4 linked regions of the Diceros bicornis minor genome follow. The protein of the gene in region 3 interacts with the protein of the main gene of each other region in a biochemical or structural test. Links are inferred from orthologs where the notes say so. Each region holds a gene or a part of one and is shown on either strand. Other genes may lie near its edges. The genes, in order: PTGES3, PANX1, CASP3 and GSN.

What was found.
Region 1: of the proteins of CASP3 (region 3) and PTGES3, one has a biochemical effect on the other in vitro, tested with the Homo sapiens proteins (2 studies listed by BioGRID and IntAct). The link is inferred for Diceros bicornis minor from reciprocal best matches to the Homo sapiens genes CASP3 and PTGES3.
Region 2: of the proteins of CASP3 (region 3) and PANX1, one has a biochemical effect on the other in vitro, tested with the Homo sapiens proteins (2 studies listed by IntAct). The link is inferred for Diceros bicornis minor from reciprocal best matches to the Homo sapiens genes CASP3 and PANX1.
Region 4: of the proteins of CASP3 (region 3) and GSN, one has a biochemical effect on the other in vitro, tested with the Homo sapiens proteins (2 studies listed by BioGRID). The link is inferred for Diceros bicornis minor from reciprocal best matches to the Homo sapiens genes CASP3 and GSN.

The regions. Positions count from the first base shown.
Region 1 is NC_080756.1:12,196,519-12,204,379, forward strand, and holds the start of PTGES3 (prostaglandin E synthase 3), read left to right. Parts: upstream 1-4,844; 5' UTR 4,845-4,859; coding exon 4,860-4,867; intron 4,868-7,861. UniProt on the Homo sapiens protein: Cytosolic prostaglandin synthase that catalyzes the oxidoreduction of prostaglandin endoperoxide H2 (PGH2) to prostaglandin E2 (PGE2).
Region 2 is NC_080746.1:39,654,573-39,661,585, reverse strand, and holds the start of PANX1 (pannexin-1), read left to right. Parts: upstream 1-4,002; 5' UTR 4,003-4,446; coding exon 4,447-4,627; intron 4,628-7,013. UniProt on the Homo sapiens protein: Ion channel involved in a variety of physiological functions such as blood pressure regulation, apoptotic cell clearance and oogenesis.
Region 3 is NC_080768.1:16,324,819-16,331,672, forward strand, and holds the start of CASP3 (caspase-3), read right to left. Parts: upstream 3,021-6,854; 5' UTR 2,929-3,020; intron 1-2,928. UniProt on the Homo sapiens protein: Thiol protease that acts as a major effector caspase involved in the execution phase of apoptosis. Following cleavage and activation by initiator caspases (CASP8, CASP9 and/or CASP10), mediates execution of apoptosis by catalyzing cleavage of many proteins.
Region 4 is NC_080767.1:28,448,050-28,454,976, reverse strand, and holds the start of GSN (gelsolin), read right to left. Parts: upstream 3,001-6,927; 5' UTR 2,986-3,000; coding exon 2,842-2,985; intron 754-2,841; coding exon 549-753; intron 1-548. UniProt on the Homo sapiens protein: Calcium-regulated, actin-modulating protein that binds to the plus (or barbed) ends of actin monomers or filaments, preventing monomer exchange (end-blocking or capping).

The sequences.
Region 1 (7,861 bases), on a different chromosome or scaffold from region 3:
GTAACACATTCTCATTCATGAAGACCATGAAACTAAAATAAAACTTTATTACCTGATTTCTTCTGATGCTAGAGAATATTGCTAATTTACATAGAAATAAACATATATCACTCTTTTTATAGTCTTATTTTCCATAATATGAACTCCAGGTATATATGAGGTGATGTTTGGGGTAGAAGACCATTTTTAGAAGATTTCAATGTATTTCATTAAAAAACATAAATTAGCTTTTTAAAGCCTCTTCCGAGCCGGCCCTGTGCCTTAGTGGTTAACTGCGTGCGCTCCGCAACTGGTGGCCCGGGTTCGGATCCCGGGCGCGCACCGACGCACCGCTTCTCCGGCCGCGTCCCACATACAGCAACTACAAGGATGTGCAGCTATGACATACAACTATCTATAGTTGTATCTATCTATAGGGCTTTGGGGGAAAAATAACTAAATTTTAAAAATTATTAAAAAATTAAAAAAAATAAAGCCTCTTCCTTAACCTAGAGCTGTTCATGCTGTTGTTGGCCCACAGTGAGAGACTGGTAGCAAAACTCAGAATATGAAAAAGGTAAATACAAGGCACAGTTGTTTTTAGCTCTATTACTGCCAAACGAGACTGATAGGGTATGCTTTCAAATTGTGGGACAATAATGGCATCAGATAACATGAAGTAATTTAAGTTGCTATACATGATGTTTACATTTAGCTAGGTCATGATGTTTCCCTTAAACTTTATGACCAATTTCTTATTCCCTACACCTAGAACAGATTACTACTTTACCCCCTTTCCCTTTATTTGCCTTACAAATACAAAATTAACAACCTGTAAGTTCTTTATCTTATTAGAAAATCCTCTCATAAAACCAGTCTGTTCTCATCTGTTATTATTTAAAAAAATATTTTTAATTGCACATGTAAATCTATAAAGTTCTGTTTTGCTGTTAGTGACTATGGACACATATTTAAATTCAGTCCTCAGAAAATATCGGAAGGTTGATGCTACAATTATAACCGACAAATTGTTTCTGCATTCTTTTTACTACTGTTAGTATTAAACTTGTGAAATGGGCATCTACTACTTGCCAGGTATTTTCTAGTTTATGCCAATTTGGGTTGCAGATTTCTCTCCCAAAAGCCCTAACACTGTAACTATACATGTTTGAATCTAGAAAGAGAACTTGTTAGTGAATTCGAAAAAGGAACCTGGTACAACTTGGGTCCCCACCAGCTAATGGTTGAGATAACATGTAAAGGGATGGATAAACCTGATTACAAACTATTTGTGAAACGTCTGAGTGAGAAGCCATTTCCAGAGCTACACTAACATGAAATCCCTTGAAATACGTCTGACGGGGGAAGTAAATAAACTATGAAGTAGGATGCAACGGATTTGAATTTTCAAAAATTTCTTGTGTGGAAGGCAGTTTTTCCCACAGCACTTATTTAGATAAGGGAAACTGCCAGTTATTTGGAGTTGCAGTCTTCTAAACGCTATCTTCAATTCAGTTCCTCCATTTCTAGTTCACCTTATACATTGTTACCAAATTAATCTTTCTAGAACACAAGTGTTACTGCCCTTCAAAAAACTTCAACAGCTTCCCACTGTCAGAGAAATAAGTTGAAAACAATTAGCCTGGTATTCAATGCCACCATTACTTGGTTGTGACCTACCATCTAAACCTTATTTTGAATCATTCCTCTATACTCTGGACTACCTAGGCCAGGGGTTGGCAAACTACAGCCTGCAGACCAAACCCAGCAGGCTGCCAGTTTTTGTATGGCCTTCCAGGTAAAAATGATTTTTACATTTTTAAAGGGTTGGAAAAGAATATCGTGTGACATGTAAACATAAGAAATTCAAGTTTCAGCATTCTTAGTGTTTTTTTTTTTTAACACAGCCACTCTCATTTTTTACATATTTTCTATGGTTGATTTCATGCTGCAACAGCAGAGTTCAGAAGTTGCAATAGAGACCTTATGGCCTTATCTGACCCTGCACAGAAAGTTTGCCAATGCCTGATCTAGATGTACTTCTATTTCTTTCTTTCTTTTTTTTCTGTGTGTGAGGAAGATCAGCCCTGAGCTAACATCCATGCCAATCCTCCTCTTTGTTTGCTGAGGAAGACTGGCCCTGAGCTAACATCCCTGCCGATCTTCCTCCACTTTATGTGGGACGCTGCCACAGCATGGCCTTACAAGCAGTGCGTCAGTGCTCGCCTGGGACCTGAACCCAGGGCGCCAGCGTGTGCACTTAACAGCCACGCCACGGGGCCTGCCCCTATACTTCTATTTCTCTCTCTTCACCTATCTAGAGTCCTGCCTGGAATGTACTATTCCCACTCATTCCTGCTGTCACCTCTATGAGGCTGTCAAAGAATTTTCAAAAAATTTACAAACATGATTCTCCCACAAATATAAAATTAACACGAGCCAAACATTTATTGAACTCACTGACGGAACCAGTAAGACGGTAAAACTGGTTGCAGGCGTATTTAAGGAGCTAAGTATTTAGAGCCACAAAAATAAAAATTACAATAAGGTTGAAGGTTAAACAAAAATACTGTCCTACACAGCAATAAAACTGTAACTTTGGGGTTAGCTTTTCTATCAATCAGAAATCTACAGCGTTACAAGTAACTTACAATGTTTGAGCTCTAATCATTTAATAAATAGCAAAGCCAAACACAGGTACCTTCTCCCAGAGAATAATGCTTAGACAGGCAAGTTAAAACACGTCCCAGTATGAACTGCAAGGCCATCCCTCCAGGCCTTGCCTTATTTCCATGTTTTGGGTAACTTTTAACAAGGCCTATCCTAATCCTTCCAGTCAATGTGGACCTCTCCTCCTTTTATGCTCCCATCACTTTTTGTACTTCCATTATAGCACTCAGTTATCTGCATTTGCGAATTTTATTTTCCCCAACAGGCAGTAGGCTCCTTAGAATCACAGTATTTAAGAGCTGAGATTTAACCTTCCTTTTTCACGGGATTTGAGCATAGGGCCCAGGGTTGCAGTTCTCAATACCTGCCTTGCCCCGCACAGATACTTAAGTCCTTAATGCCGAATATGCAGCCTCCACTCTTTCCAAAATGTCTCAGGGCACTTTCCTTACACCTCCTTTGGGTTCTAACGGGCGGTGCACTGGTGTTTCTCCCTTACTCCACTGTTTAGTGGCCTTCTAGAGTAGGCAGGTACTGTTTGGATTCTCTTGGTTACTATCTCCCATTAGAGCCTAACCCAGTGCCTTGCACAAAGCACCAGTTCAAGAGACAAAGGTTGAAACAGATGGGGGACTCTCTCCCCAACTGATGTAGCTGGAGACACCGAGTGTCCTAGCCTCTCCATTCACATGACCTTCCTGTCTCACCTACAGCACTAATACCTCAAAGCAGGGGGAAATGCCCGCCCCAAATGGCAAACATTCCTCCTCAGCCAAAGACCTCAAATTTCCGCTGCCCCTGGACACGGTCTCCAACCCTCAGAGAAACGGCGAGGTGGACTAGGCCCTGGATTCTGAAGTCAGCCCTTTCCGCAACTATCACCAGCACCGCTTTTCGCATCTTTTGGCGGTGGAATGTTTCCTCGGTGGGCTGGTTTACTTCCTCAAGACTAACCAGTCCTCCCTTTCACTTTTCAAGCCTCCCGACTCTGCGTCTCTCCGCCTCAGCTCGCCTCCCCCGGAGACGGCCCCCGGCGCGTGGCCCCATAGCGGTGCGGCCAACGGTTTTCCGACGCGAGGGGGGAGCGCAGGAGCAGAGGCGGGAACGAGTCGGGCGGGAGAGAGCGGACGTAAGGCGGGGCCAACGCCGGGAAGGATCGCGAAGGAGCTGGGAGGCCCCGCCCTTTCCGTAGATATCTCTAGAAAGCCGCGCAGGAAACCAAAAACAAAGAGTGCGCACGCGCGGCGGTAGGGCCCGGGCATTTTGCTGCGTCACCAGCCGCCGCCCGGCCTCACCACCCCTCGCTCGCACGCACGCACGTTCATTCTCCGTCCTCGCGCCCCTTTTCCTACAGTTTCCTCTTCTCCCCGACCGGAGGAGCCGCTCTCTCCGCGCGGTGCATTCTGGGGACCCGGGTCGAGCCCGCCGCCGCCGTCGCCTGAGGGAAGCGAGAAGAGGCCGCGACGAGGAGAAAACGCCGGAGTCGCCACCGGAGAGGAGCCGACTGCCCACCAGCTGCCGCCGGAGAGGCCCGCCCATCCGTGCGCCCGTCCCCCTGCCCCGTTCGCGATGTGAGTGCGCCACCCCTCCGAGGGAAGGTCGCCCCGGAGGGAGGCCGAGGCCGTGCTGGGGGCTGTCGGGAAGCCGCCTCCCCCTACCCCGCTCTTGGCCCCTTCGGCTCTCTCCCCTCAGTGGTGGCAGTCGTTCCTCCCCGGGGTTGGAGGTCCAGGACCCTGTTCCGGGTATCGTGGCGGGTGGAGGACATTTTCCTCCAGATGTTCGCTTTCCCCTTTGGGCAGTCCGCGTTGTCCGTAACTGTCCCTAACTAGTCTCTGGCCTTCGTCTCCCGCGAGCTTTGGGCCATGTGGGCGCCCTGGAGGTGGGGGCCCTCGTGGATTGCCGCTTGGCATCCTGGGCCGTGCGGTTCGGCCGCGCTGTTGTCTGGGACCAGGCCGTGGGCCAGTGCACCTGTGGTGGGTGCTCCCAGAAGCTGGGGGTGCTCCTCGGAGGGCCCCATGCGGCCTCCGCCGAGAAGCGACAGGCACTGCTAGGCAACTGGAGGAGGCCGCGCCGGCGCCACCACTTACTTCCCTCTCGGGTGTCGGGATTTCTTGAGCGTGGGTCTTTCCAGGCCTCCCCATAACTCTAGTCCCTTTAAGGGGCTGAAGGTTACCAAAACGCAGCTTTGTCCCTGGCAGCCAGGAGCTACCATGAGCAGGTAGTTGTGCACGTGTCGAGTCCAGAGATACTTGTGGACATTTTCTGTGTTCTTTGTTAACAGGCGAGGTTTCATTATCCTATCCTAATTTAAGGTTGAAATAGGTATGTGATTGCCTCCTTGTTGTCTTGAAGAGCTTAAATTTGTTTTTGTGGAGGTGACCACACATTTTTTAGCGATCTTTAGTTTTTATTATGGTAAAGGAAAACCTCGGTGATTTTAACCGACTAAGAATTCTTGGCACTGCCACTTCCAGGTCTTACATTCTTCTCAGGAAAAGCTTTTACGTTTTCAGGTGTGTGAACTGCCGGTTTTATAGTTTTTGGGACTAACTGCTCTCTAAAGGTTACGTATGGAGAGCAATTGAAGGGGAGCAGTTTTTATTCCTATAAAAAGTAATGCACTTTCAAGGGTTTATGTAATTAATGACATTAACGGTGAGTATGTTGGATTAGACATTTAAATGGTAAAGGATACACTATAGCCAGTTGACGACGGGGAACAAGCCTCGGGAGGAAAGCATGTGTTACTGTAAAGGGAATTTATTAGAATTTTGGAAGGATTTTTTTCCCCCATAGGTGATATCTAATAGAAGATTTTAATTTATGTAAAATAGCTTTTGCTTTTCCCTTTGAAATCTCTATTCCAAATAATGTAGCAGGATTGTCGGTCTTAAAGTATCTATGAGAAGAAGATGAATTCTCAGATAAAGCGTTACCAACTTTTAATAGACTAATGTAGCCAAACAAAATATCTTTTCGTTAAGAAATACCATGTTTAATACGGTTTGAAATAGAAAAACTCTAGGGAGGTCACATAAAATAGTTAGATAGGAAACCTTAACTAAATAGATTAAAAGATGAAAAGTGTAACAATATTCCAAAAAGCACTGTCTCTACGTAAAGAATGCTACTTTCAAAATGAGTGTTTTGAAGAGATCAGATAAATCTCATCCTCTTTAAAATAGTCAATATATGCAATTTTGCAAATTGTTTAGGATATCTTATTGAACTAATAAAATGAATGAATTTACAAGATGAATATTATGAGTTATTTGAATTGGGAAAAACTTTTAATGGGTCATCCAGTCCCAGGAAGAATCCACTGATAAGGGTTCATTTTGTTGATGTCTGCTATAAACATTTTTCTAGTTGTGGAAATAGACATTTATGCTGGAAATCTTAAGGGTTTTAGGGTCTGGTTTTTTTTTTGTTTTTTTTTTTTTGAATGCTCTGTAGTAGTGATTTCCTGGGTAAATTTCTTTTAATCACGTTTTTAAAGTTTTGTATAGTAGCATACATGAAAGCTCTCAATCTCTCACCTACCTTGGAGAAGGCTGGAATTTTAGGACCTCCCTCCCCCATTTAAGACCTGCGCAAACCCCCTGCAGGGGGTGCTCATTTGCTTTTTTTTAAATTAGCGATTGTAGTTGGTTTTAAGTTGGACCCATTGACAGTGGGTATAAAGTAAAATGTTTTATTTAGTTTTGAGCTATTTGAAGTCATTCTTTTTGGTGTCCTGTACTTAAACTAATAAATTGTCCAGAACTATACCATGACTATTTCTAACGTTGATTAAAATCTTATTTACTTTGCCATCACTCAGCTTTGTAGGATTGGGACCCGAAAGTAAAATCATCAATGTTTTGTTTCCAGAACAAATTGTAATAGTGAGCATGGGGTATATGGTTAATTTCTAAAAGCTAAGGAAAAGTAACTGATCATGGTCTTTGTTCAGTGTTGACTTCCTAACGACTGTAATCTGGCAACTGGATTTTCTTTTTTTCTATGTTTAGTTAGACTTTAACTAGAAGGCAGTAGAAACTGGAAGTGACAAATCACCTGAGTGCAGACCAGTATGTATTGTTAATTAAGATTCTTCTGTTTAATTGTATTTTCTCAGTTTTGAAATCTAGAAGCTATATCATTTTGGGGTCTTAAGTGGCTTGTGATTGTAGCTTTTCAGAAAAAAATACCTTTGTAATATCAACTGTTTTAGAATCAATCTAGCTCTTAAACGCTTAAGATCCTATTTTATCTGAGTTCTTAAATTGAGAATTGTTGCATCTAGTGTAGTTTGCTACAAAAATACAAAGTGTGTTGTAGTAAACTTTTTGTAATTTACTGTATAGATTGGCAGTGATAGATTTTAAATTGAGGCTGACTTCCCCAGGACACCTTTGAACTTTTGATTTTTCCAGGAAGATGCCAATTACTTGAAACCCTACCTTGAGCAGTATACTCAATTTCATGTTGTATCCCACAGCCAAATAAAATGTGCTGTTGTGGATTTTCTGTGCAATAGTTGATCTTCACATGTAGCTATACTTTATTGCCGGAAAGTTTATGTCGGGGCCCTTTCCACCTTAGCATGTTTAATTATCGTTGTGTACTGAAAGGATCTAAGTTACAGACAGGTGTTTAAAATTTTTAATTTTATTAGATTCTAGGATCTAGTTATTCAAATATCAATTCACATAGCACCAATTAGTATAAAGGGCTGTCTCAAATAGAATTGGAACCCAGGATTTCTGACAGAAGGCTTATTTTTTTCTACTTAACAAAAAGGGAGAATAATTTTCAGGTGGTCCTTTTGTGTGTGTGTGTGTGTGTGTGTGTGTGTGTGTGAGGAAGATCAGCCCTGAGCTAACATCCGATGCCAATCCTCCTCTTTTTGCTGAGGAAGACTGGTCCTGGACTAACATCCGTGCCCATCTTCCTCCACTTTATATGGGACGCTGCCACAGCATGGTTTAACAAGCTGTGTGTAGGTGCGCGCCAGGGATCCGAACCGGCGAACCCCGGGCCGCCACAGCGGAGCGTGCACTTAACCGCTGCGCCACAGGGCCGGCCCCTCAGGTGGTCCTTTAATTTCCAAATAAAGAATCATGTCTCTGTAGTTCATTTTTATTTATTATCTAAACTACTGTTTCTGTTAAAACCTGTGCCACTTCTTGACATATGGTAACGGAGCCCTGAGGCTATGAAATTTGTC
Region 2 (7,013 bases), on a different chromosome or scaffold from region 3:
AACTAAAGTCTATCTTTTATAAAAGCAATGTTACATACACTCTCACATGACACCTTAAACTCCTGAGGTTGGTAATGACAGCTATCAAATGCTAAGTGCCCATGATGTGGCAGGCACTGTTACATATATGTCACATGTAATCCTCAGAACACCCAATGAGGTAGGCAGTATTATCCCTATAGGAAAATGAGGAAATTGAGTCTTAGACATTTCCAGTGACACATACCCTTGGTCACACAGCAAGTAAGTGGCAAATCCAGGAGTTGAACCCAGGCTTTCGGTTTCTTATTTCTGCCCAAAGAACTTGATGCATGTCAGATTATTTGATCTGATTTTTGCAGCGGGAAGAATGGCTCCCTTAACTACCGCTCTCTTCTGTTCCATTCATCTTTATCTTCAAAGACAGCAGACCAGTTTGGTCTCTTATTACCTCTCATGTGTAAAATTTTGACAGCCTCTTACCTGGCCTCTCCACCTCCCTCTGCATTCCAATCCACTCTACATGTGACTGGAAGATTAATCTTTTTAAAGCACAATCCATTACTCTTCCCCAAAACTCCCTAATGCCTTCTGGAAAAAAAAGTCCAGATTACCTTCTTTGGCCCCAACCTTTTCACCTTTGACTCCCTCGCCTACATCTTCCTCATACCAGTGTCAGATGTCCCTACTTTCCATTTCCTGACAAGTTCTCTTTCTTGCCTGTATTGTAAATTCAACAAACGTGGACTGACTTCCTGCTAAAGGTGAAAACTCTGCCAGGGTTGAGGGCAATTTATGAAATTGCTGAAATTCCATCCAGATCCTCAGAGGAACTTGACATCTAATGAGAAAGCAGACATGCAGTCAACCATCACACCAGGCAAATGAGCTAAACGCTAGACCAGAAGAAGGAAATGCTAAGGGACAGAGTGATTTCATCACAATGGGGGCGATCCTGGAAGGCTTCCAGAAGAGGGGACCTTTGAGCCTGTTGTAGATTTTGACATGGAGAGAAGGGGCACAGCACCATGCTTTCATTCATTCCTAGAAAGTCCTGTCCCAGCTCAGCCTGCCACAAACCGACTCATCCTCCCAGGCCCCACTCTTTCTATGCACCTCCCTTGGCACACCCACCTTTCACAATATTACTTACCCCTTCTAACTTGTATTATAGTTAATTGTGCACATACTTTATTTCTCTTTCTAAGCCATGAGGTCTTTGCAAGTGGAATGTATCCACTTCATCTTTGCTTCCCCATCCATTGAACCCAGAACTGGTCCACCACTGGCCTGTAACAGATGCCTTGAATGTATGGATAAATGAGTGCAAGTTGGGCTAGTTGTTTTTAAACAATTTTCACAGTGAAACATTTTCAGATTCCTTCAGACATTTAATAAATATTAATTAAACTACCTACTATGTGTCAGGCATTTGTGTTAAGTGTTGGAGATAGGAATGGTATACATGGATATGGACCTGCCCTCATGAAGCTTACCATATAAAGGGAGAGACAAACATTAAATAAATGAACAGTTAAACAAATACTGGTTGAATTATATTTGTGATTATCATTAAGAAGGAAAAATAGAGGACAACAATACCAGATAACATTTACACAGTACTTATCAGTTGCCAGGCACTTTATCAGTGCCAGGCACTTTACATATTAACTCATTTGATCCTTATCACAATCCTAAGAGATATAACCACTTTACAGAGGAGAAAACTGAGGCACAGGAGGGTCAAGTAACTTTCCCAAGGCCCACAGCTAGTAACTGGTAGTGCCAGTATCACAAGAATATTTAATAAAACGACCTACTCTGGTTTAGTACTATCAGAGAAGACTTTCCTGAGGAAGTGACATCCAGCTGAGATCAGGAGGGTGAATAAGAGGCTATGGTGGGAGTGCTTTGGGTAAGAGAAGGCCTCGGGGAGGCAAGGGGCCTGGCTAACTTGAAGAACTGAAGAGGAAGCTGGTGAGGCAGGCAGTGGCCATGCTAAGAAATCTGAATTTTATCCTAAAACCAATGTACACTTGAAGTAGAGGACTGACATGATCAGATTGGAGCTTTCAAAATCTCCCTCTGAGGGGCTGGCCAGGCGGCGCAAGTGGTTAAGTGCGCGCGCTCCGCTGCAGAGGCCCCGGGTTCTCCAATTCGGATCCCGGGTGCGCACCAACGCACCGCTTGTCAAGCTATGCTGTGGCAGCGTCCCATATAAAGTGGAGGAAGATGGGCATGGATGTTAGCCCAGGGCAAGTCTTCCTCAGCAAAAAAAAAGAGGAGGATTGGCAGATGTTAGCTCAGGGCAGATCTTCCCCCCCAAAAAAAGCTCCCTCTGGCAGCTATGGGGGAGAATGGCTTGTGGGCCTGTGGGGTCCATCCCTGTATGTGGTTAGCACAGAGGATGAATCAGTGTTGGCAGTCCAGGTGGAGAAACACTGTCAGATTTTCTATATTTAGGAAAGAGAAGCAAAAGAATTTAGAAATTGATTATGGCAGCTGGGAGAGATGGAGCGTTAAATAGGACATTCCATGTTTCTGGTTTGGGCACGTTGGGGCCCAGGGCAGGCAGCCCCAAAACATCCCACAATGGCATACTGATTATTTTGAATTAAGGTTACTCGTTTTGACTTCAGGTAAAATTTTGATCCTCCTCTCTCTGTTCCTCCTGAAAGCAGGAAATAAATCTCCCATATGAAATCCCCCCTCCCCATAGGAGGGGGTAGAGACATCCTTATCACCAGAGCTAGGGAATTCAGGGCCAAGAAGCTTATATAAACAAACCTTGTTAGATTTACTAATTTATGACCTCAATTCCTCACTAATTATGACTAATTACATACCCCGAACCTAAGTTTCTTTGCCCTGTCAACTCCTCTTTGCATAAAAAGACATATATAACCTGCTTGCCTCCTTCACTCTCTGAGCATCATTTTTATGATCTCCCAAATGGACGTATTGTTTTTCCTCCTGTCAGTCAGTCTTGTGTCAATTTTATTATCAGTCCAGCCATAAGGGAGGCTCCTCTCAAGAGGGAGAGGTTCCCCCTCCTCAACAGGCCTATGGGTGGATGGTAGTGCATTAGCAAGATGGGGAAGAGGAGTACAGGCTGAGAGGAAGATGAGGATTGCAGGCCTGGCCATTATGAGTCTGAAGTCCTGTGAGCTATCCAAGTGAAGAGTTCTGTAGCCCTTGGATGAGTGCTCAGAGGAGAGGCCAGGGTAGAGAGGTACCTGTGGGAGTTGAGGACATATAGAAGAGGCTTGCATGTATGGACCTGTCCACATACAAAGAGAAGAGAAGGCAGCCCAGTCCAGTCCCAAGGAATCCTCACGTTTAAAGGTCCTGTCTGCTCCAAATGTTCCTGATTAGAGCATCTCCTGTCTATTTCTCAGCATCCACTTCCTGCTAGTGGTTCAGAAGAAGCTCTCCCCCAACACCCACTCACCCGCGGACACCTCTCTGCTGGCTCCCCGACCAAGGCTCCGACTGGGAAAGCAGGAGCAGTAGCGCGGACCGAGCGGCGATAATTAAGGTCTGAGACCTAGTCATACGCCAGGGCTCACCACCCAGACCCCGCAGAGCCTCCCTGTCACGCAGAGCTCTCGGAAGGGGCCAGCGCTCCCTCTTCCACACAGGCTCAGTCTACACTGGCTTTTATGGCACGTGTTGCTCTTTGAAGCGTTTGCAGCTCTTTTTAACCTGATTCCACCATGTAGAAATGTTGAGGGTGGGGCGTAAAAGGGGGCCATCCTGTCCACAGGGTAAGGGGCCACTTTCAGAAAGGGGTCGATTTCAAAAATCCCGAGTGCCTGGAAGTGGGGAGAATGAGGATGGAAGGGGCGTGAGAATTTTCAGAGGTACCGCTCGCTCGCTGGGAAGATCCCTTTGCTGGGGTGAATCCCAGGGTTGTGGGATGCTGCCGCGCCCACCTCGCCCCGCCTCACCGCGGTTTCCGGAAACTCCACGCCCCTTGGTAATAGGTCTGCCTCATCGTTCCGGAAGGGCGCAGCAGAGCGGGCTGAGAGCGCACGGGCCTGCCCAAAGGAGCTTTGGCTGCTGGGGCAGAGCGGCGGGGCTGGGGCGAGAGGGAAGCGCTTTGTGCGGTGGTTGGTTCTCGCGCCTGCGGGCGCGCCGGAGAGGCGCCGAGCCCGGGTGGCGCGCGCGTCCCAGGGACCTGCGGGGGCGAGTCCGCGCCCCTTCGGCGGCGGAGGAGAGAGCGCGAGAGCTCGTGCGCCCAGGCGCCCGTGGAGGCAGATTTGGCTCTGTGGCTCGCTGAGAGCCGGGCCACCGAGACACAAAGACTGGTGGGGTGTGCAAGCAACTGGGGAGTTGGCAAAGGAAAAGCGAAAGTCGCAGGTCCGGCCAGTGCCGGGGTGAAGGCGCAGCGCAGCGCTCCTGACGCCGGCGGTACCCGGGCCTGCCCTCGTGGGCCTGCCTGGCCGCGCCTGGCGCGCCGCAGCCATGGCCATCGCCCACCTGGCCACCGAGTACGTATTCTCAGACTTCTTGCTGAAGGAGCCCTCGGAGCTCAAGTTCAGGGGGCTTCGGCTGGAGCTGGCCGTGGACAAGATGGTCACGTGCATCGCCGTGGGGCTGCCCCTGCTGCTCATCTCGCTGGCCTTCGCGCAGGAAATCTCGATTGGTAAGGCCCGGGAGCCGGAGGGCGGGGCGGGGCGGGGCGGACCCCGCCTGCTGGGCCGCGTTAACAGAGGTGCCGGGGTCTGGTGAGAAGTGATTTTACCGCGCGCCGGCCTGTATCGCCGAAGTCCCCCCGACAGCGCGATGGGCGTGAACGTTGGGAAGGAAGGTAGCCCCGGTTTTATGGTCTGAAGCATTCTTTGTCCACGTGCTTTATTTGTACCCCTGTGGGCTCTGCTCGCATCCTTACTCCTCAGTTCTTCTGTTCCCTGCGCCCCGCTGATCCCGAATGTGGCTTAGTGTTCATGTGCCACTCGTGACCGGCGCCGTTGCTACCAGATTTGCACAAAACTGCCTCCTCTCTTCCCCTGCACACATTTGTGTAGTCACCTAAAATTTTGTACCAGAGAAGTTCCTGAGTGGCTGAACAGAGGATGTGAAGACAAGTGCTCCATGGAAAGTGTGTTTTCTCTTCATTATCTTATTTTAATTGATATTTATTGAAACTTTAGCTCTGCAGGGTTGTGAATGATAGAAAATACCTGCACTTGGCAGGTATTGGAGGGAAACCAAAATCCTCCACTTGCATGGCCTTATGAATGTGTGATGAAGGAGTTCCCGTCATGTATATTCTGATTGGTAGTAATAACAGTTCTGTGAGATTTCCAGTCTGGTGGTTTGGACAGGATCACGTGGCCAGTAAGTGTGTGGTCTTCCCCATCAGCTCTTCTGACTTTCAGCACAGGAGAGACTATTTATGAGTCAACAGGAAGGCCGTATAGGGCAGCTAGAAACAGTTCTGTATGGGAAAAGAGGGAGAGACCTGTGGCGCTGGACCTTGGGAAAGCTTATTTGAGAGGTTGGGCTGGCACTGAGCCTTGGAGTGTGTGTGAGATTTGGATAAGCAGAGGGGAGACCTTTTGCCAAGATTTTGAGATGGTAGGAAATGTTACATGTTCCTGGAAGGTGAGAGGCAGTGACTAACTGAGGCAGGAGGGTTGTCAGGGTTCCTGGGGTATGAAAGTGAATATGAGCCTGGGTCAGTTAGAACAGAGGAGTACAGCCTTGATGGTTTAAAAAGTATGAAGTTATTATTTGAGCATAGGGTGGACTGGTTGAAAACAGCACTTCATAAATAGCCTGATGGTAGCATGTAGGGTCTGTGAAGGTGGAGAGTTGGACCTACGTAGGCTGGATGCCGTAAGATGGGTCATCAGTTGAGGTCTTGTGCGTGGTTGGGGCCAAGAGTGGAAGGGAAACGTTGGGTAGGGGGATTTCCGAGAGAGCAAGGAGCAGTAAGCAGCACTTGGGTGCCTCGTTTTTAATAAGCTGTAAAGGGCAGAGACTGATCAGAGCTGATGGAAAGGCTGCAGACCTGGGTGAGTGGAAAATGGTGGTGGTGTTGATAGGAATAGTGAAGTTGAGGAAAGTGTTGGTTAGAAAAGGGTTACAATGAGTTTGATTTTGTGATCTACAGCACCGAGTTGTTCAACTTGGCAGGAAGTTGCCAAAATCATTGTGCTCAATAGCACTCAATAAAAATGTAGTGAAGGAAATGCTAGAGCACGTTGAAGAACTCTCCTGGGTTCTCCCTTGGAGAATGGCTGAGCTGAGGGAGATGGGGTGCCTTCCAGGGCAGGGGCAGCACAGAAGAAGGTTGCTGAGGTCTGGCCAAAGGTTACAGTTGCCAGGTCCCAGCCAGTGCCTGGAATTCACCAGTTAGAGGCAAGTGGTTCCTGGTGTGGGGAGGGAGACGTCTCAATTGCTGTGGTACCCATGTCACTTAGTAGCACAAGTGCTGTCCTGGGGAGGCCAGTCATGGCTCCCTCCCAGACGTCCGCCCCTGATCATAGCATTAATGGATGGAGGTCATCATGGGAGGGGCGAAGTTGTCCCACTTGACTTATAAGCTTAGGTTTTATTGTAAGTGCCTTAAATGCCCTTTTGTGGTATTTTTCTGGTGAGGAGGAATCTGTGTTCGCAATGTTGAAGGGCTCTTCTGTGGAAGACAGATGAGTGTCATTCCGTGTAGCTCAGAGACCACACGAGTGTCACCAGTGTGGAAACTGCAGGGAGACAAGAGTTCTGTGCCACGGAAGGACCCCCATTTCTAACACACCTGTCCCCAGATGCCTCTAGAGGTGCAGCATGTTTGACTCTGAGACAGAGAGATTTGGGAAATAGCTGGGTGACAACTCTGTGTAGAATACAGGCATAAATGGACTGCATAGCCTTTAAGCTCTGAAATTCGAGGAGTATTTATCTAAACTATTGAAGAAATGAATTCCTTAAGTGTGTACCTTTCAACACACCAAACTCTGAATGGGATTCATGTTCTTGGGGTCTTTTGATAGGGTCTTCAGTTCCCCAGGCTTAGGGCTATTTGGGGC
Region 3 (6,854 bases):
CTGAGTGTATGAAGTAATGGAAGACAGAAAGACCCTGTCCCTGTGTGGGACTCACAACCACGCTCACCGGCATTCAAAAGTAGCTCAGCAAGGCAGATGCCAGACAGTGTGCACTACACATCAGATAACTTTATCTTACTCTGCCCTAATTCAGAAGCCCTATAAGCAATCTGAAGGCAAGAACAAATAAGCAGAGAAATAACAATATTACACAGAGATTTAGAAAGCACTGTCACAGACACTATCTCATTTTATCCTCACAACCCTGTGAAGTATGTATATCACTTATGCCTATTTACGGATGAGCTGGTAAGTGTCGTCCTTGGGACCTGGCCTTAGGTCATCTGACAAGAGTACCTATTCCCCTCCATTACATTTGTATTTGTTAAATATCTACAAAACAGTTATCTAACAGTCTAAGAATTCCCACATCTTTTTTTAGGCCCAAACACCAGTGCTTCCCATCTTTGAGGCAGAGCTTGAAGAAGTATCTAATACTAGGCACCAGAATCAATTTAATACCATTCATAAAAATAAAGACTGCTTTCTAGCATTACAAGGGGGATGCGGCAGTAGATTGTGTTATACCAGGTTTGAAAGCAAAACAGTAAAGAAGCATTGCAATCGCCCATATCAGTAAGACGTGAGTCTCTTAAAACCGCAGGAGGCAAGGCTTTTTCAGGATAGCAAAAAGAAATCCGATTTAATTAGGCACAATGTTTCATTTCTTTTTTACCGTCAACAGGTTTTACTGCCACACTGCAAAAAACTGTCCGTTCATTAAAGCACATTCTAACTTTCAAAAGCCTTCTTTTGCAAAAGAGCAAAGCAAAACCAAAGCTCAAATATCAGGTTGCGATAGGGATGATTTAAGCTTTATATTTCATTCTTAGAGATTATGTAACTACAACACATTCAAAGTGGCCGAGCACGTTTTGATACAGGTTGGTCTAAACCACCTTGCTAAGCAGCTCCTATTACTATCTTGTATACTCACATCGTTACAACCACTCCATATTTCACCTCTACCATTCCTTCCTAATCCAATCTTTTAATTATATTTTGCTAAGTAATCCTAAAACACGTTTATTTTTTCTAGATAGGGCATAATTATTAAAAAGCATAAGACTGTAGTATAGGCGTTCACTTGTGCAGGCCCTGGACATGGGGAAGGGCAGTAAAGAACAAGACAAACACAGTTCCTCACGGAATTTGCTTACAAGCTAGTAGGAAAGATAGGAAACAAGCAACTGCAAAGGATATGACGTTTTCCTCTATGAAAATCCCGATGCGAAAGGAACACATAATAGGAAGACTTAACCTTGAAGTGTTGAATGAGAACAGAAACTAAGTAGGAGTTCCTCAAGCAGATGTGATGCAACCAGAGTGGGAATGCAGGAATGTTCCAGGCAGAGAACAGGTATTAAGATCAGCCTGGCTGTGTAGAAAGTGAAACAGGCTATAATGAAATATAAGGCAAGTGAGGAGACCAAGGAGCCAACCTGTGCTTGGCTATGTTACCATGCTAAGGGACTGGGTTTTTCCTATGGGCAAAGAAACAGTTTTCTAGATTTTTATTTTGTAAAGATCCCTCAGCCTGTGCTGTAAAGAATGGAGTGGAGAGGGGCAGAGGGTCTGGAAGTATGGAGGCCAGTGAGGAGGCTGCTGTAGCCAGGTAAGAGCCTAGGGTGACTTAAATCAGAGATGGAGCGCAGTGGACAGATCTAGCGGACATTTAGGAGGTCGAGGAGGCTTTGGTGGCTAACTGGGGAAGGACCGGGGACAGGTAGCTGAGAAGGTTGGTTCTTGGTTTTTTGGTTTGGGTTCCACTTACTGAGAATGGGAGAGAGGCAGCTGCTTGGGAAATAAGGCTTGAGAGAGAACAAGGGTGACAAGTGTGAGAAAGGCACTCGCATTCAACATGGCCTGAGTGAATTTCAAAGCAGCTCCTAGGTGGATTTGGCCATGGACACACAATCACATGGCCGAGCTGGACGGACTCACGGAGACCTTCAGGTCTCAAAAGGAATTAGAGTTTAACGCCTGAAATTGCTTCTCCCGAAAACTGAGTTACATAGTCAACCCGGGAAAATCTAGGCCCGAGACAGAGAAGGCCGCAGAGAGCACACCCTCGTCCAACAACGGGAGGTTCAGCCCCGAGGGCCAGCGCCACTGGGACGGCACCGGGCCCGCCTCCTGCCCTCGGGGCATCGTTCCTCCGCGCCGACCATCCGCTACTCCCGTCCCGGCCGCCCTCACTTCTCTGGCATCCCGCTGCCTGCCGCTCCCGGGCCCGACCTCCCACTACCCGGCCTCGGCGCCCCCCTCCCCCGCGCCCCGCTCCCGGGCCCGGGCCCGACCTCCCACTACCCGGCCTCGGCGCCCCCCTCCCCCGCGCCCCGCTCCCGGGCCCGGGCCCGACCTCCCACTACCCGGCCTCGGCGCCCCGGCCTGGCCTCTCGGTTTTCGGTGCGCCTCCCGTCCCGCGGGCTGGGCATCTCCAGTCGGGTCTCCCCTCCGCGGCCTCCACATCCCGGGCCCGGGCTCCCGCCCCCCACGCGCCCCCCGGCCTCGAGGCCCCCAGCCTGGCCTCTCGATCTTCGGTCCGGTGTCCCGTCCCCCAGGCTCGGCATCTCCAGCCTGGTCTCCGCTGTCGGCCTCCACACCCCCAGCCCGGCCCCCCGACCCGCGGCCGGGCCTCCACACCCCGGGCCAGGTTTCTCGCTCCGCGGGCTCCAGCGCTCCTCCCCGCGCCCGTCGTCGTGGCCAAACAAAGGACCCGCCGCCCGGAGCGTGCCCGTCTCCTCCGTCTCCCCGGAGCAGCTGCAGGCCCCAAGGGACCCCGGGGCGCGCGCCGGGCTGGAGGCGATGCAGGCAGCGGGCAGGGCCGACGGCGCGGCGTCGGGAAGACTCGAGGGCGGCACTCACCGCACAGCCTCCACGCAGCGCTCAACCGTCCACTCCGCTCTGCGCCCCGCCAGCTCGGCTTCTGCGGCCCGCCGCCCCCAGCCCGCCGAGCTGAGCTCCGAGCACGGCCCGCCCCCCGCTGGCCCCACCCCCGGGCCCCGCGCTCCCCTCCGCGCCGACACGTCCCTCCCGCCCCGGCCCGCCCCGCCCCCGCCGCCGCGAACGCCCCTCCCTCAGCGGCCCCGGGCGCTCTGGCCCGCCTTCCCGTCCCGGCCCGCTTCGACCTCGCGCTCCGGCCCCGCCCTGCGTGCCCGAGAACGCCGCTCCCTCAGAGTCCCGGCGCGCTCCCCGCTGCCCCGCCCGCCTGCCGGAGAACACCGCCCCCTGCCGCGTGGAAGCCGCGCCCTCATAGGCCCGGCGCGCTCTGGCTCCGCCCCCGCCCCGAGAACACCGCCCCCTGCCGCGTGGAAGCCGCGCCCTCATAGGCCCGGCGCGCTCTGGCTCCGCCCCCGCGCCAGGCTTGAAGTCGCGATCGCGCCACGGCGCGGGGTTCTGGACGTGAACGGAGGGAGACCTCAAAGCCGCGGCAGCCCCGAGGGGCGGAGAGAAGGGAGTCAAGGTTGGACGTCTGGGAGGAAGGGGAGCAGGCCGACCCGCACTGGTAATCTCTTCCCCTCGGGTGACCTGAGGCCTTTCCTTAGGTCACCCCCCCCCAATTCGTCCTTAAAGCCTTAACTGCCTACTGGTTCCCGCCTATTTTGGGTCACGAACGCCTTTCAGACCCTGATGCAAACTCTCAGTCGTTTTCGCAGAAGACTACACCAACACGATTGAGCACGAAATTCTGCATCAGATTTCTAGAGCTTCATGACATTCTGATAAGTCAGGGACCCCATGTTAAGAACACTTCTGCCTATTCGGATATAAATCAGGGGCCGTATTTTGTACATGAACATACAGCGTTATATACGTGGCTACCATTTGTTGAGCGCTTATTCTGTGATGTTACGTGTGCGCAATACACTTTCTTATTTTATCCTTTCAACAACCCCGGGAGGTAGGAATTCCAGTTCCCATCAGGGCTTAAAAAGGTTAAGTAGTTTGTTCTCGCTAAAAGGAGAGTTACAGAAGTTAAACTGGGATCCCAGGAGTAAAACTTAGCCCTTTCTTTATCCCTCCCAAGTTGAGAGAAGACAAAAGTGTGGCAGTCCTTTTTCTGCTGCAATAAAACTGAGGAGGACCCACTCCCACCCCTAAGTGGTTCAGCATGCAGCTATTCGTAAGGGAGGCACCAGTATAGTTGAACAAGTCCTCTTACGCCCCTGTGATGCCCAAGCCTCTTCCTGTGCTAAACTTTCTTACCAAAATGATGCTTCAGTTAAGGCAGCAGCAGTTTTCTGCTTTCGTGTAATTATACTAGTTTACTTAGTCTAGAGAAACTTTAATTATAGTAAAACAGTTGGCTGGAGGAAATGTCTTCTGACCGAGTCCAGTAATTTGTTTTTACAGAGGTGTCTCAGAGGTGGCGGAACTTGATCCGGGCCTTGAAAGGGAAGAATTTGGAAAAGGGAAGTGAGGCATTCCAGGTGAGAGAAACATGCAAAGGGACTTTTGGAGTGGGCCAGATGCAGGAAATGGTTATTATCATTCATTTGGTGATTGCCATTTGGTGATTTTCATTCATTTGGTTCAGAAGGCTGAAAGATAAGAAATAAAATGGGTAAGTGGTTTAGGGCCAGATTCTGGAGAGAGTTTGGACCTCTTGATGTTAACTATAGTGTGAATTGAGTGATGCTCTGAATCATTAATGGGTGTCCCTATGAAAAGTTACGAAAATGGTTTTAAAAGTCATTAGTCTGGCAAAGTTAGGCTGTTTGGGTGGGAGAGCCTGTGGAGATGGTAGAAAGGGGTAACTGGAAAAGAACAATATATCACTGTATGTTTTCTTATCCCTTACAGGAGAATTTTGGGGGATTTAAATGAGTTACTTCTGTTCAAGCATAGAGCGGCAAAGTGACTGAAGTGGAAGAAAAAGAAAATTCAGTCAATTAGTATATTTCTTACAGTGTTACTTCATCTGAGAAGTAAACATATAATATTACTATTAATGAATTTTAATTACATACTTTATTATGAATACTTTAGCAGTATTCCAAGAGGCCACAAAAGGGATTATATTAAGAAAACATTGCCAGATACCAGAACATTACTAAATACTAGAACTAGAACATACCTGCAGAAAACACAAAATACTGATGAATCTATTCTGAGGACAGAGGAAGAGGTTGGAGTTAGGGAATAGGAATTGACTTGTGATTAGGCAAACAACGGGAAGAATGTAGGAGAAGTGGACTAGGGAGAATCATGGCAAGGCAGGCTTCAGATCTCCCTAGAAGCCAGTAATCATGAAGCACGCGCCCCCTATCCAGCTGCTCCTGGGAACCAGGGCATCAAGTGTCCTAGCTGGGCAAGTCTAGGCATAAACCCAGGGAAACCAGGGCCATTACATAGGATGGCCACCTGAGTCATCTCTCCACCTCCATCCCCTCTTCCCCTTTTCTCACTATGCTACAGTTACTCCCAAAGGACTAAGCCAGCCTTTTTTCTAGCCTGACCACGTTTAGTTGTAAAATTGGTATCCAACATGGTTAAATCAACATTCTGGTGCAACGTTAAGAAACAGTGCTCTTAAGTCTACTATTTTAAAATACAACAAATATTTTTCTTTGGAACTTGGAAACTGTTACCAAAAATAGTTATGGTCCCTGTGTGAAAAGGGGTTTTGATGTACAATTCTATAAAAGAAAGACAGCACTCTTTCCCCACCAGGAATTAAAAGCATTTCTAAAATGGTGACGTTCTCTCAGAGGATAGGAATAAGGAATATGATAGTCCAAAACCGGAATGCCAGATGCCTTCCTGTTCTCTGTTTCCTTTGCTTTTGTCATTCACCCTCCTGCTCAAATAGTCCAAGCCCCAGTTGTCTTCTAACCCTCAACCCAGCTGTTAAAATTTTCAAACTGTGCAAAGAACATGAGGGTGTGGGGGAAGAGGGAGAAGCCCCCTCTGCCCTTTCCCTTAAGGTTCTTATGGCTGGCCAAATAATTAACAAGATAGGTTAGCAGGAGAAAATAATACCAAGTTTAATAACATGTATACGTGGGAGAAAGCAGGGACACTGCATTTCTCAACACAATAGCAGAAATTCTCGTCTTAAATACCATCTTCAGCTAAAGACAAAGGAGGATGCTGGGGGTGGGGAGTCAGTTAGTGGAGATTACCACTAAAGCACTGTAAACAAGAGTAAGGTTATTATGCAGATTTAAGGCCTCACCTTCCACATTGATGAGTTTCTAGAAATGAAGTCATCTCACCTCTTCCCAATACAGAAAGGGAGATACCTTTACAAATGGAGATTTCCCTTATAAATGTAAATGTTTGTCTGGCAACTCCTCTCAGGGCCATCCAGAGAATGTGCCTAGAGAGACAGAACTTCTGATAAGATGGGCTTGTTGGTGCCTTTCCTATTGTAACATCTATTTTACATTATATTACAGATCTTCTATGTCAAATTCTTTAGGCAGTTAGTGGGGGAGGTCAAATGTCCATCAGAGAAAACAATCAAGGTAAAGAGATATGTTTCAGGGTAGCCAAATCTTGATCTCCCACAAGGGCATAACATATATTGTACTTCTCTTTTTTGTTTCTGTTGACATTCATGGCTTTCTCAGTCCAGTAAGTGTCAAACTGATTTTCCACTCTGACTCCTTGATTTTCATGTATGACACACTTCCATTGTCATACCAACATTTTTACAAAATTAAAATTTTCCTGGTATCAGTGTCGATAAGTATGAACGTCCACATGGTTATTCCTAGTCAGTTATTGGGTAGATACTAGAGCTATAAGTCACATCTGATTGTAGTCTGTTTATTTTCTTCATTAAG
Region 4 (6,927 bases), on a different chromosome or scaffold from region 3:
AACGGGGGAGCTGGGGAGCTGGACTCCACGGTCTCCAAGAGTCCTCCAGCTCTGACTCATCCCCCACACTCACTCTCAGCCTGGGAGCACAGGCTCTATTCACAGATTAGGAAACTGAGGCACAGTGAGGGGGCATGACTTACAGAGTCACACAGCAGACCCGTGGCAAGGATTCCAGGCTCCTGACTCTGAATGGGAAACTGGGGTGTGTCTGGAGCTGGGTCAGGGAAGCTATGGGGGAGTCTAGGGTCCCCAAGTCACCTCCAGTTCTGAGGGCCATAGTAATGGGCTTAACCTTCACGACACTCCTGTGAGGGAGGTGGCGCTATCACCATGTCCACTTCACAGAGGCACTGAGTGACTTGCCAAAGGGCAGAGCTGGGTCTGAACTCGGGCAGGCTGGCTCTAGAGTCTGGGGACACGTAACCGCTAGCCAACGGCCTGGCGCGTACTTGATGCTCAATAGTCAGCGCCCATGGGTGCTTCCTGGGAACCACGCCTCAGAGGTCCGTGCTTTCCGGGGGAGGGCGCTGGGCGGGGCGGCTCACCCAGCCAGTAGTGCAGGTCGTACTGCAGGTTCCCATTCCTCAGCTGCACCGTCTTCAGGATGACATAGGCGTCGCCTGTGAAGAAGTCTCCGTAAAGGTTGGGGGGCACGGGCACCAGGTCGAACTTCTCCACACGCCAGATCTGCAGGCCGGGCTCCTTCCCTGCCTTGAGGAACTCGGGGTGTTCCACCACCATGCTGCTGGGCTGGAAGAGACAGGGCAGAGCCTGAGCGGGGCAGGAGCCTTGGCGGAGAGACCCCGGGGCACGAGGGAGGGGGGTTTCCAGCACCAAGAGCATCTCACTTGAGCCTCTGACTCTCCCCACCCCCTAGGTGAGTCTCCCCACTTCTATGACCCCTGTCTCCATGAGTGAGCAAACAGGGCAGAGTGTAGGCTAAAACCCTGTCCCCAGCCAGCGTCTGTCTCTCCTACTCAGCTCCCGGTGATGGAGGGACAGAGAGCTCTACCTCCCTTCTCCTTTCCCTTCTTAGTACCAATTGGATAGTACAGCTATGGCACAGAGAGCTGAAGTGACTCTGCCAAGGACCCCTGCTAGGAAACGGCATAGGAGGAATTGCCCCAGGCTCTAAGAGCCTGAGATCTGGGACCATAGGGAGACCCCCTCAGATGGAAATGGTAAGTTGGGGTCCCCAAGGGCTCAGCGTATTCCCTTCCAGCATCCTCAGTGGCTCTTAGAACTAGAAGGGTCCTCAGAAATCTCATTATCCAAACCCATTCTGCAGATAGGGAAATTGAGGCCCAGAGAGGGGAGGAAACTAACCCAAGGTCACACAGCTTGTTTGCTTTTGTTCTTGGAAGTGGGACGATATCTCATGCCCCATCCATGTCCCCATCACACCCCCCAGAAGGGCCTAGATGACTAAGCCCAAGTGGCCTCCTGCGCTGTCTGCCTCCTCCCTCCTGCCCCCCAACACCCCACCCCCAAATTCCATTTCTTGGAAAAGGCGGAGAGGACACAGCCAGGGTCTGCAGGAGCCTGTTGGAGATGAGGTGGCCAAGGATGGGGAAAGGCCTTCAGACATGCACTCGGGCTAGAGGGCTAGAGACGGAGCAGAGTGGGATGGTTAGCCTGGAGCCAGAGGGCAGAAATCAGCAGGCGCAGGTCACCTCGGGCCGGAGGACAAATCTGGTGGGAGAAGTCAGAGAAACCAGATGGGAAGAAGAATTCAGGCAGAGGGTGGAGAAAACAAAAGGGAAGCAGGAGAGAGGAGGAGAAACCAGACAGGGCAGAGGAGATATTGTTACCGCACAAAATTGAGGTTCTCTTGCCCAATGTGCATTAAAAAACCCAATTAATTATGGCAACAGCTTTTGGGGGAGAAATCAGCTTTATTCTGCAAGATCGATCTGCAGGGAGATGAGGAGTGTGCCCTCGGATCTGTATGTCCCATTCAGGATTTGGGGTTACATTTAAGAGGTTACGGAGAACAGGCTGGCAGGTGGAAACGATAGCAGGATAGGTTTTGATTGGTGGGCTTCAAGCCTTTATGACAGGGTTCTAAACATTTATGATGAGGTGGGGAAGGAATTTTAACACCAGATCTTCCTGAATGAGGGACCCCCGGCTTCTGATAAGAGGCCCACTTTTTAATCCTAGTCATGTCCCGGTCCTTGGGTTCTGGAGGAGCATCTTTGGTTCTGTGGTTATTTCAGGTCACAATTTCTTCTTCTGCACATGCTCTGGCTACCAGACTTTGCAAATTTTCTGAAAGGCAATTACTCTGTTGATAAGATAACTAATCACTCTGTTGACACGAGAGGGGGTCAGTTGAACCGGTCCTGGAGGGCAGGCGGTTACAATATCAGAGAGGGGAGAGTCAATAATAGTTGTGAAGATAAGCAGGCAGAGGGGAGATCATAAAAGAAAGAGGCAGAAAATATTGGAGACTGAGAGAGAAATCAGATGAGAAAGGAATCTGAAATGGAAGAAGAGATCAGAAGAGGGAAGGAGAGACATCAGGCAGAGGGAAGGAGAAATGAGACAAGGAAAAGGAGAAATCAGGCGGCAGGGATGGGTAAGAAATCAGAGGCAGCGACGAGGGAAAAGAAATCCGGCCAAGGTAAGGTTAGCCTCCAGGGAGGGAAACAGCCAGGGCCCCGAGGCTCCCACCCCCATCCACGGGAGCCCCGGAAGCAGCAAGAGATACTTACAAAGCAACAAAACAGTTTTTCCATTCTAGACCTGAATTACTCCCCTTTTCCTAGTGCTGTATCTGCAAGAACTTACAATAGAGAGTTACTCCGGGAGCCCCCGGGCCCCCCGGGCACTCACCCGCGTCGGGGACGCCCGTCCCTGGGGCGCCCGTGCCTGGGCCGCCCTCCGCGACGCGGTGGCCGCGCGGGCCGGCGGCGACAGCGCGCACAGCGCCAGGACCAGCGCGCCGAGCAGCGCGGGCGCGGAGCGGTGCGGAGCCATGGCGGCGACGGCGGCAGAAGACCCGGTCGGCACCCCCTGCCTCCGGGTCGCCGGCCTTAAGTAGCCGCCCGACCATCCCGCCCAAGCTGGGGACCGCCCCGCAGGGAGGGCGTGGGACAGGGCTGGGCCCCCGCGGGCCTCGGAGGGGCGGGGATCTGGCTTGGATTTTGGAGACATCGGGGTTCCCACCCGGGCCGACCCGACTGGGCGCGCCCACTCCTTCACTCCAGCTCTGGGGCGGAGACCAAGCACACGGCCTGGCATACAGCAGGCCCTAACTCAGTGCACACTAAATGGGCGCACGCACGAAAGGCGGGGGGCCCAACTCAGCCTCCTGTGTGACCCACGCAAGTCCCCTCCCCTCTCCGCACTAACACCTCCAGCAAAAAATAACAGGAATTAACATTTATTGAAGACTTGAACACATCATATGAAAGCTGACACATCCTAACATCCTTTACAGAGTACTATGGACAGCCCCATTTTACAGAGGGGAAAACTGAGTGCAGAATGATCAAGCAAGGTGCACACAACAAGGAAATGGTACAGCCAAGATTTGAACCCAGGGGGTCTGAGTGGAACGCCCACCTAGGTAGCATGCGGCTGCCAGCCACTAGGGCAGCAGTGCAAGGGGCTTCCCTTCACTGGGCCGGTCAACAAGAGAGACTCAGAGAGGGGCGGGCAGACCTCTCAACTTCCATCATTGCCCTCAAGACTGCCCTTCTTTCCTTCTTTTTAAAAAACTTTTATTTTTATCAAAACTTAAAGTCACGGATTTGTACAAAGGTGTTCTTTCTCAACCCCACTCACGTCTCCCCAGGGGCAGGCACATCCATCTTCCTCCTTTAGCTGATGATTCCAGGGTTTACCTTCATGTCTTAAATAACAAGCCCTCCTTTGCTTCTTGTAGTTGTTGTTTTGGGGTTTTTTTTTTTTTTTTTCCAGTTTTACATCTTATCTATTGGCTCCCCTTGGAGAAGGCAAGGATTTAAGTCTCTTCCCCCACTCCCAGGCTCCTTTCCCATCACTGGGTTAGGAGAAGTGCTATTCAAACTCACCTAGGTCCACTTCCCACCTCCACCAACCCGTCTCTCCTCCCTCCCACCACTCTGCTGGACCCAACTTCTTTATTTCCAGGTTCTCTTTGCATCTCGGATCTCCCCCTCCCCAACAACTGGTGCAACGACAGGAAAGAGAACCAGGGAGTTGGAGGCCTGGGTTTGATTCCCGCCTCCACTGTGTGTAAGTTACTTTCTTTTTCTATGCCTCAGTCTTCTCATATACTAAATGGGTATATAGTTGCTGAGGATTAAATCAGTCTGCGTGTGTGAAAATGGCCTGGCCTGCAACTAGGTAAATGGAAGATCCCGTCCCCCTTCCCCACAAGCTATAGTTACCTGTCCCAGCTCTTCCTGGAGCCCAGCTTCTATCTAATCAGGGTGAAATTTGCCCTCCACCAATGCAACTTCCTCCCACTTAAGGGGGATTGTGGGTCAGATAAAGGGCTAAGGGAACACAGAGAGGAGACTCTGTCCCTTGAAGGACAGGGAGGAAGAAGACTGAGAAGAAAAGGCATTCTGGGGGGCAGGGGGGCGAGGGAACGGCATGGGCAAAGGGCAAGCAAAAGCAGTGAATAATGAGAGGTCCAGTCTGAAACACAGGCAGCGAGAGGCGATGAGGCTGGAGAGGGTGGCAGGAGTCACAGGAGCCCGTGCACCACCCTGAAGAGTCTGAACTTTATCCCAGCGTCTGTGGGGAGCCACATAGAGATGCCCAAGTTCTCAGTGCTATAAGTCTAGGCCTGGGCCTGCAGAGCCTGCAGTGGGCCGGCTCTGGCCTAAATTCAGAGGGCTCTTGCCTCTCCCTAGGCATGTGGAGGATTATAAAAACCCCACAGTTCTCATGTGCTCTTGATGGAAGCATAAACCGGTTTCACCTCTCCGGATGGCAATTTGACTATCCAAATTTGAAACACACAATGCAGCAACAGTTCCGCGTCCTTCAGTATTACTTACAGAGGAACACAAAAATAATATGTGCAAGGATGTTCACTGAAGCACTGTTTGAAGAAAACTGGAAAGGACTCAATTGTCCTGATTAAATAAATCATGGAGCTGCCGTACAATGGACCACTCTGCAGCTGTGAAAAAGGAATGGGCTAGATTTACTGTGCCGGGCACATAGTAGGCACTCCACGAGCATGGAGAGATCCCCAAGTGCAAAAAGCAAATTCTACAACGACTACAGTGTGGCTCCTCTCCTCTCGTTTATAAGAGTGTCTGTTTTTGCATAGATCCTTAAAGAGTCCAGCAGGGTAAATGACAAACTGTCAAGGCGGTTTGCTTGAAAGGGGTGAAGGGGGAGACATTCACTCTTAAACATTGCCGTGGCTGCCTGAGGCTGGAGTTAAGCGCCCAGATTACTGCAGTCTGCACAAGGGAACATTTTAGGGGATGAAAACATTCTAACACTAGATTATGGTGATGATTACACAGCTGAAAAATCTACTGAAAATCACAGTACTGTATGTTTACAATGGGTGAATTGTTATGGTATGTAAATTATACCTCAATATACTTGCATAACAATTTTAAAAACTTGCTGTAGGGTTTGAAACTATTTACATGTATGTATCCAACGTAGTTGTTATTTATTTATTTTTTTAGTTAATCCCTGATCTAGGAATAATACCCTTAAAAAATACACTTAAAGTGATGCCTGCTCATTAGACAAATGGGAAAATCCAAACAAGTCAGAAGAAAATTTCCGTGTCATCCCAACCCCCCAGAGTGAACCTCAGTCGGCAGCTGGCCCAGCCTGGCAGTCCCTCCTGGAGCAGTGTGGCCCTGACCACACAGTTGGTGATTAACAGAGGGTTGTGTGGTTTGGCCTTGGCCTCAGGGGTCATGGACCACCAGCCCTGGGTCAGTGGCCCCCAGGTTAATGATCACAAAGGCCCTACTGCTTTGCCGGCCACTAGTTCTGGAGCCTGGTCCTCGGCACTGGAGAGCTGGTGAACACGCCCTGCCCCTGTCCTGGGGGAGCCCACAGCCCGGAAACTCTCGCTATAGTGCAGTGATATGCGGAGACTGCAATGGGGGCAACATGGTCTTATGCTGCTCCCTGCCTGGAAGAGAATGTATGAGTTCGGGACAGCAGGGGACTTGGGTGCAAAAGAAAGACCCCTAGGTAGAAAGGAAGAGGCCCCAGTGCTAGGCCTGCCTCTGCCACTGACTTCCTGGGTGACTGTCCCTGTCCGGGCCTCAGAGTCTCCATACGCGAAAGACGGGGTAGGCCCCAATGCTCTGATTTGAGGTCTCATTCCTAGCCCCAGCATCCCCAGATACTGGCTGTGCAACCATATCCAGGACCTACATGTGTCTGAACCTCAGGGTTCCCATCTGTAAAATAGGGGCACTGGACCAGGTCACCTCTACAGGTCCTTCTGAATCAGACAGTCCAGAGCCCCTGACTTGCAGAAGGAGGCACCGCCATCACCAATGGCAGCATGCCACCCCGCTTCTGGATCCAGACATCTCTGGGAGAAGGGAGGGAAGAAAGAGGGATCTAATACTGAGTCTCCTCACAGCAACCAGGGGAAATAAGCACTAAAGTTCCCATTTTACAGACAGGGAAACTGAGACTCAGGGAGTTTCAGTCACTTGCTGAGGTTGGAAATAGGCATTGCTGAGATTCAAACACAAGTCTGGCTGGCTCCAGTCCCCAAGCTCTGTCTGGAGAGATCAAGCAGGGTCTCCTGACACCATCCAACCTGGCCGGGGAGCAACAGTGCCCTTTCCGGATGAAGGGTTGCAGTTGCTAAGCCTGTCAAGCCCCAGTGAAGCGTGGCAGCCAGGAGTCTCTGGGGCGGCCATCCCTACCACACCTCCCAGGCCGGGGCAGGAGGCTGCACCAGGGAAGCCCCGTAGCCCTCCACACACC